2 linked regions of the Canis lupus familiaris genome follow. Each later gene encodes a partner of the first gene's protein in a complex. Links are inferred from orthologs where the notes say so. Each region holds a gene or a part of one and is shown on either strand. Other genes may lie near its edges.

What was found. The genes of interacting proteins can lie anywhere in the genome.
Region 2: ODAD4 (region 1) and EFCAB1 share a complex: the UniProt entries of both Homo sapiens proteins name them as parts of the outer dynein arm-docking complex. The link is inferred for Canis lupus familiaris from reciprocal best matches to the Homo sapiens genes ODAD4 and CLXN.

The regions. Positions count from the first base shown.
Region 1 is NC_049230.1:20,778,417-20,782,068, reverse strand, and holds part of ODAD4 (tetratricopeptide repeat protein 25), read left to right. Parts: intron 1-793; coding exon 794-990; intron 991-3,652. UniProt on the Homo sapiens protein: Component of the outer dynein arm-docking complex (ODA-DC) that mediates outer dynein arms (ODA) binding onto the doublet microtubule. Plays an essential role for the assembly of ODA-DC and for the docking of ODA in ciliary axoneme.
Region 2 is NC_049250.1:1,219,586-1,223,237, reverse strand, and holds part of EFCAB1 (EF-hand calcium-binding domain-containing protein 1), read left to right. Parts: intron 1-836; coding exon 837-995; intron 996-1,913; coding exon 1,914-2,018; intron 2,019-2,706; coding exon 2,707-2,858; intron 2,859-3,133; coding exon 3,134-3,238; intron 3,239-3,652. UniProt on the Homo sapiens protein: Component of the outer dynein arm-docking complex (ODA-DC) that mediates outer dynein arms (ODA) binding onto the doublet microtubule. Seems to regulate the assembly of both ODAs and their axonemal docking complex onto ciliary microtubules.

The sequences.
Region 1 (3,652 bases):
TGGGAAGAAAGGTTGAGTTGTCCAGATGGCCCAACTGCTGAACTTTTGATATCCAACCTTGGGGCTGGTGACCAGCTCCAGTGGCACAACTCAGCCCCTGAGAGACTCAGGGCAGGACCTGACCTGGCCAAGCCTGCACTGGGAGGGCTGGCTCCGCGGGCCCACTCACATAGCACCGAGAACAAATGTCCTCCGGGTGCCCAGCGCTGGATCAGATTAGGCTCATTTATGGGGATCCTTCTGTTCCACATAACTTGGTTTTCAGGATGGCCCCTGGTGTCTATGTGCCAAAAGACAGATGAGTTTAAGAATTCACTTACCCGTTCATTTCTTTTTGTAAGAAAATATAAGAAACTTATGCCTATTATTAGAATATTAATTTGGAAAATGCAGAAGAGTAGCAGAAAAATTATTCAGTTTCACCACTTAAAGACTAGATCTAACTCTAATCTCACTTTATTGATGTCTCATTTTTTCCCATTCTCATCTTTCCTGTGTGGCTTTTATCTCCTATATACTTAATAATACTCTTCAATGTTATTTTTATGTTATTTGAAATGCAAGTTTATAAACATTATTTTCAATTGTGGTATCAGATTCCATCTGTAAATGTACCAAAATGGCTTTGGTAGTTTTAAAATATCTGAATGCTTATTGGCTCTGCCCCCGTTCTGAAAGAACCGGTAGTTGGAGAACAGGTTCTATTCCACCACTGGCTAAGAATCCTCGGCCCACTGTGGCCGAGTAAACAGTTTGCGTGGAAAGAACTGACCCTGGTTTTTCATGTTCCCAGGTGGGAGGAGAAGATCCCTCTGGCAAAAACCACCCTGGAGAAGACCTGGTTGTTCCATGAGATCGGCCGCTGCTACTTGGAGCTGGACCAGGCCTGGCAGGCCCAGCATTATGGTGAGAAGTCCCAGCAGTGTGCTGAGGAAGAAGGGGACATCGAGTGGCAGCTGAACGCCAGCGTTCTGGTGGCACAGGCACAAGGTAGGGGCTCTGGAAGGATTACCCTTGCTTTCCCAGCTCTTAGGCCGAGTTGACATGCCAGGGCTGGGAACCCTTTACCCTCCCAGTGCATCCCCCACCAGCTGAATTTGGACTCTGAGAGTGGAGGATCAACCCTTCCATTTTAACCAGTGTGTGGTAAACACCTTCTTTAAGCTAAGCTCAGCGAGAGCCTGGGACACCCCAGAAGCTGCTGCTGAGGAGCCCAGCTGCAGATCTGCACAGCATTGTGTCATCATCAAAACAATGCTCATTTCCTCTGGCCTTGGTACCCTTCCCATGTGCACTCTTACACCTACTTACCATGTGAGCTAAGGATGAAGGTATGATTGTCCTCATTTTGCAGGTGAGGAAACTAAGGCACTGAGAGGTTCAGCTGATTGCCCCAGGTCACACGAGGGACCTTTTCAAAACGATGGAAATGTTCTGAAACTGGGTTGTGGGGATCATGGCACAACTCCATAAAGTTACTAAAAATCACTGAATTGTATACTTACAAATGGTGCATGTTATAATATCTAATTTTTTCTCAATAAAGTTGTAAAAAATAACCCAGCAAGGGATAGGGGTGAGCAGGAATAGATGAAACAGAGTTGGTGATATTTTGATAATTGTTGAAGGTGGATGATGAGTAGTAGGGGCTTGCTATACTCCATCTACATTTGTGTATATTTGAAATATTTCATAATACAAAGTAAAAAAGGAAACTGCTGAGGCCACAGGTTAGTAAGCAGTGAGGCTGGGACTAGAGTCCAGTTCCCTGACCCCAGTGTGCAGCGGACCCCAAGGGAGGGAGGCGATGTGGCAGGGACTGGAGTCAAGGGCATCATCATTCATTATTCTTAGCACAAATACTTCCTTGGCACTTTTGAGGCACCAAGTGGGGCATTCAGTGGGGATAACCATTGGTAACCATTTCCTGCCTTCATGTCTGAGGAAATCACTTTGAAGTAGAAACCTTAAGGATGCGGAACACCCTGCTGGCTCAGTGGTTCAGGGCATGATCCCAGAGTCTGGGGATTGAGTCCCACATCGGGCTCCCTGTAGGGAGCCTAATTCTCCCTCTGCCTGTGTCTCTGCCTCTCTTTCTCTGTGTTTCTCATGAATAAATACAATCTTAAAAAAAAAAAAAAGAAAGAAAGAAACCTTAAGGATGAGAAGGCACCAACTATTCTAAAAGCTGAGGACAGCGCTTTCCAGCCAAAGGAACAGTGTGTAGAAGGTGGGGAGGAGTTTGGTGGATTTAAGAAGCTGAGGGAGGCCAGTGTCAGCCCAGGCCCCTGGGGGCCCTGAAGGTCTGGATGGGGGAGGGTGATGAGGAGCCAGATCCGCAGGGCTTCATGGGCCTCTTTACAAATCAGAGATTCTTCCCTAAAAGCACAAGTAGAGACAGCCATTGGAAGTTTAAACTGGGGGAAGCTGTGAACACTGGTGCTTTCCCTAGAACCCTTTCCTGTTCTTAGGAGGACATCAAGTAAGCTGAGAGGGAAATGCAATGTACCCCTCAGGGTCGATGTTGTCCTCAGTCTGCTCCTTTTTTTTTTTATTTATTTATTTTTTTTTTATTTTTTTATTTTTTTATTTTTACTTATGATAGGCACACAGTGAGAGAGAGAGAGGCAGAGACACAGGCAGAGGGAGAAGCAGGCTCCATGTACCGGGAGCCCGACGTGGGATTCGATCCCGGATCTCCAGGATCACGCCCTGGGCCAAAGGCAGGCGCCAAACCGCTGCGCCACCCAGGGATCCCTGCTCCTTTTTTTTTAAGATTGATTTATTGGAGCACTTGGGTGGTACAGTCCCTTAAGCGTCCGACTTTTGGTTTCAGCTCAGGTCCTGATCTCAGAGGCCTGAGATTGAGCCCTGTGTCAGGCTCTGCTTTCAGCACAGAATTTGCTAAAGTTTCTCTCTCCCTCTTCTGCTGCCCCTCTCCACTGTGCACTTTCTCTCTCTCTCTCTCTAAAATAAATAAATAAATATTTAAAAATTACTTATTTATTTATTTTAGGGGAGGAGGAAACTTTAGCAGATTCCATGCTGAGCACTGAGCTCAACACAGGGCTCGACTCAGGCTCAGAAACCTTTGGCAGACACCTTGGGCAGTCAGTCAGCCAGTCAATGATTAGGTCCCAGCTCCAGCACTAACTAGGTGGGTGGGTGAGTGAGCTCGGACAGCTGCCACTTCCTCTCTGGGTTCAGCTTGTGCCAGTGTGGGGGCTAGATTCCAGCTGCTGGCCTGTGAGTCACATCCAGCCCTTTGGTATCTCTCTTGGCCTTCACAGCATGTTTGGGCAATTTGAATGAACAGTTTCAAAATATGGATGTCAGGACGCCTGGGTGGCGCAGTGGTTGAGTGTCTGCCTTTGGCTTGGGTTGTGATCCAGGGTCCTGGGATCGAGTCCCACATCAGGCTCCTCACTCCACGCAGGGAGCCTGCTTTTCCCTCTGCCTATGCCTCTGCCTCTCTCTCTGTGTCTCTCATGAATAAATAAAATCCTTATTTAAAAAAAATAAATAGGGGGCAGCGCCGGTGGCACAGTGGTTTAGTGCCTGCCTTCAGCCCAGGGCGTGATCCTGGAGACCGGGGGTCGAGTCCCGTGTCGGGCTCCCTGCTTGGAGCCTGCTTCTCCCTCTGCCTGTGTCT
Region 2 (3,652 bases), on another chromosome or scaffold:
AACTCACTTTTATGGCAGGCAATAACACTTCCACCTATGTACCTCAAATGGGAATTGGAGCACAAATAATTAACTCAGCGGTTTTTTTGTTTTGTTTTGTTTTTGTTTTTGTTTTTTTTTAACTCAGCGTTTATAAACACTCTGTGCATTTATGTGTATGGGCCAGAATATATGTCCGTATATTTATTTTCAATAAAAATTCCCTTCCTCCAAAATACTAAATACCTACATGTTAATATTCACATCAGGTGCAATAAGAACCATAATGGGTGCTGGAATATGGTTAAATGCTTCTTTATTGGAAAATAGGTTTCTGATGTCCAAAATCTGGCTTACTGATTTAACTAAGGCTGATGTGAAGTTAAAATTGTTGCCTAGTGTTCAGGAGTCTGGTATCTATCTCCAGGCAAAAGCGTAGTTGTAAATATCATAAACGCCTATAAGCAAAGTTACCATTCTTAAGCGTTACCTTGCTTACTTTGGATTGCACCTCTACTGCCTTTAAAGTTTAGCATCTGACCTCATAATCGTTATTCAGGTAACTTGGCTATTATTCTTTTCTTCCTAAATGTGACTGAATTTAATATTCAACTCCTCTTTGGAGGAAATGCTCTAGAGAAAGAGAATATTTTAGAAGAGAAACCTCTGTAGTGGCCATCCTTTATTAATTTAGTTAATTTTATTAATTTAAGGGTCACGAATCTTAAAACAGGATAGTCTTCTGTTGAAAACTAATATTTGATGTCCTTGATGTTGTCTATAAACTCAATAATGCAAAATTTAAGTTAGAAATAAAGGTTTAAAATGCATTTTTGTTATATCTTATTTCTTCACAGTTAATAAATTTGAAGTGAAATGTCTTATAGATCTTTTTTATAATTTGATGGGAGAAGTAACAGAGCGGCAAGGTATCACCATTGGACTAGATCGCAATGCATTTCGAAACATCCTGCACATGACATTTGGAATGACAGACGATATGATTATGGACAGAGGTAAGAAGACATACAATATTCAAATAGGCCAGATCCAGCCATAACTGGGAAAAAAAATCTTGGAGTTTAGACATATTCTTGATAGGAAGCTTAATGTTCTTAATTCCCAATTTCACTTGAATATAAAAAATCAATTTGTATGTTAGGGAAGCGTCATAGTGAAGGTGACTCTACCCACTCTATTCTGTGTATTCAGGAAGAGGACAAAGTCCAGCTTGAATAATTAGATTTTCCTTACTTTATACCCAAAAACCTAAAATATTTCTATTTCTACTTCGTAAATATAATAATGAAAACAATGGTTTTAAAAGGACATATAGATTTCCTTATGTCATCAAAAATATTTCAGTAAATTTAAGTTATAACTTTATCATGTAATAGCATTAATTTTCTTGAGTAAGAAAAATATAAAATTACATATTTTATGTCAACATATCAACACATTTATTTTTTTTCTTTTTTTTTTTTAATTTTTATTTATTTATGATAGTTACAGAGAGAGAGAGGGAGAGGCAGAGACACAGGCAGAGGGAGAAGCAGGCTCCATGCACCAGGAGCCCGATGTGGGATTCGATCCCGGGTCTCCAGGATCACGCCCTGGGCCAAAGGCAGGCGCCAAACCGCTGCGCCACCAGGGATCCCTCAACACATTTAATATACAATATATCCACATATTAGTAATCATTGATTACTCAGAACTTACTTTGTTTCTACAAAATATGAAGAGAAAGTGTGAGAGTTTAAATAAAAGAGCTTTCCAATGTTATAATGTCTTAGTTTTCCTCCTTTGTCAAAAGAGAATGGTGGACCATCTTATCCTGGAGTTTTGTCCAAATTTTAAAAGTGAATAGAACCAGTGTAAATATATTACTGAGAACAAAAATTCAGCACAAGTATTATGTTGTGCTTCTTTCTTAGTATTCCGAGGTTTTGATGAGGACAACGATGGTTATGTAAACGTATCAGAGTGGATTTATGGATTATCAGTATTTCTTCGAGGAACTTTGGAAGAAAAAATGAAATGTAAGATTTCAGGTTGTCCTGAACTTTTTACATTAGGATTAATGTATCTAAAGAACTTATGTCCATTGTCTTCCAATGTGGCCATTGAAATAGGTTTGTCTTTCGGTTGGTTGGTTTGAATCCCCATTAGCCTCTTCTATGGAGCAAATTCAAGTCAGTTATAAAGATTGAAAGAAATAAATACAAAGGAAAATCAAGAGATTCTGAGGAGTAATTCATGTGAAGCAAGACTGCATAAGCATTAACTATATATACTATGACATATGCATTTATGTATTAAGGTATTAAATATTTTACATATTTCATTACCTGCATTGTTAACCATGGAAGTAGAGAATACTGATTCAAGTGCTCTGATTCTTAGTTAATTCTTAATTCATTCTGATGAACTCTGTGTAAGGATCATATTTCAGTCAGTTTTCTAAGAATTTTAAGATGAAATGGTCAAATCATTGTTCCTTGGCTTTCTTATTCATAGCTGAGTGAGCGTAAGGAGCCATTTTCTAAGGGTTGTTGACTATATTCAACAAATAGACATTAAACATTGGCCATGGAAATTAGATTGCACTAAGTCCTGCAGGGTTGACACGGACATCCACAATACAGACTTTGGCCTTGAAAATTTTATCAGAGCAAATGTTCCCTTAGTCATAGTATCAAATTCATAATTGGTTATTTTTTTTAAAAGATTGCTTTGAAGTGTTTGATTTGAATGGTGATGGATTCATTTCAAAGGAGGAAATGTTCCATATGTTGAAGAACAGCCTTCTCAAACAGCCATCTGAAGAAGACCCTGATGAAGGAATTAAAGATTTGGTTGAAATAACACTTAAAAAAATGGTAAATATGGGAAATGTAGGGTTTTATATTGACATTCATAGGCCAGAATGGGATAGAATTAAGAATTCAACTTGTAGTAACTATCAGTTACTTGTTTGGTGAAATAAAACACTTATATTGTGTTTTTTAATTATAAGATTAAAAATTCTTTTCAATTTCATTAGTTTCTCATTTTTCCAACGTCTTTCTTCTGTCAACACTTGACCATGAAAAGACAGGTTTGTTTGTGATAAGTGTTGTACATGTTGACTGATACATGGCTGGTCAACTCCTAGGACCATGACCATGATGGGAAGCTGTCTTTCACAGACTATGAACAGGCTGTGAGAGAAGAGACTCTTCTACTGGAAGCTTTTGGACCATGTCTACCTGATCCAAAGGTAATGACATTACTTTCATTGAACAGTGACCCATATATAATATAGGAAAAGCAACCCAGGACTTCTTGGTTTGGTGAGTGAAGTATCAGATGAATTACATTCACCCACAGAGAATAGCTTCTGAGTAAACCAACTGAAGAAGAACCTGCTGATTCATTTCATAGTAGTACTATAGCCTAATGCTATTTTTTCCCATTCACAAACTCATCCACTCATATAGAAAGCAATTCTTAAAGCATAATGTATTCCAGAAACACAGATGAAAGGCTCCATGTCTGCATTCAAGGGCTAATATTTTCCTGAGAAAAGCCAATGGGAAAATAAGTACACAACAGTGTGATAAGTATTACTGTAATAGTAAGGGCTTGTTCAGTGCTTCATCTATGCCAGGCAGTATTTTAAGTACTGCCCCAT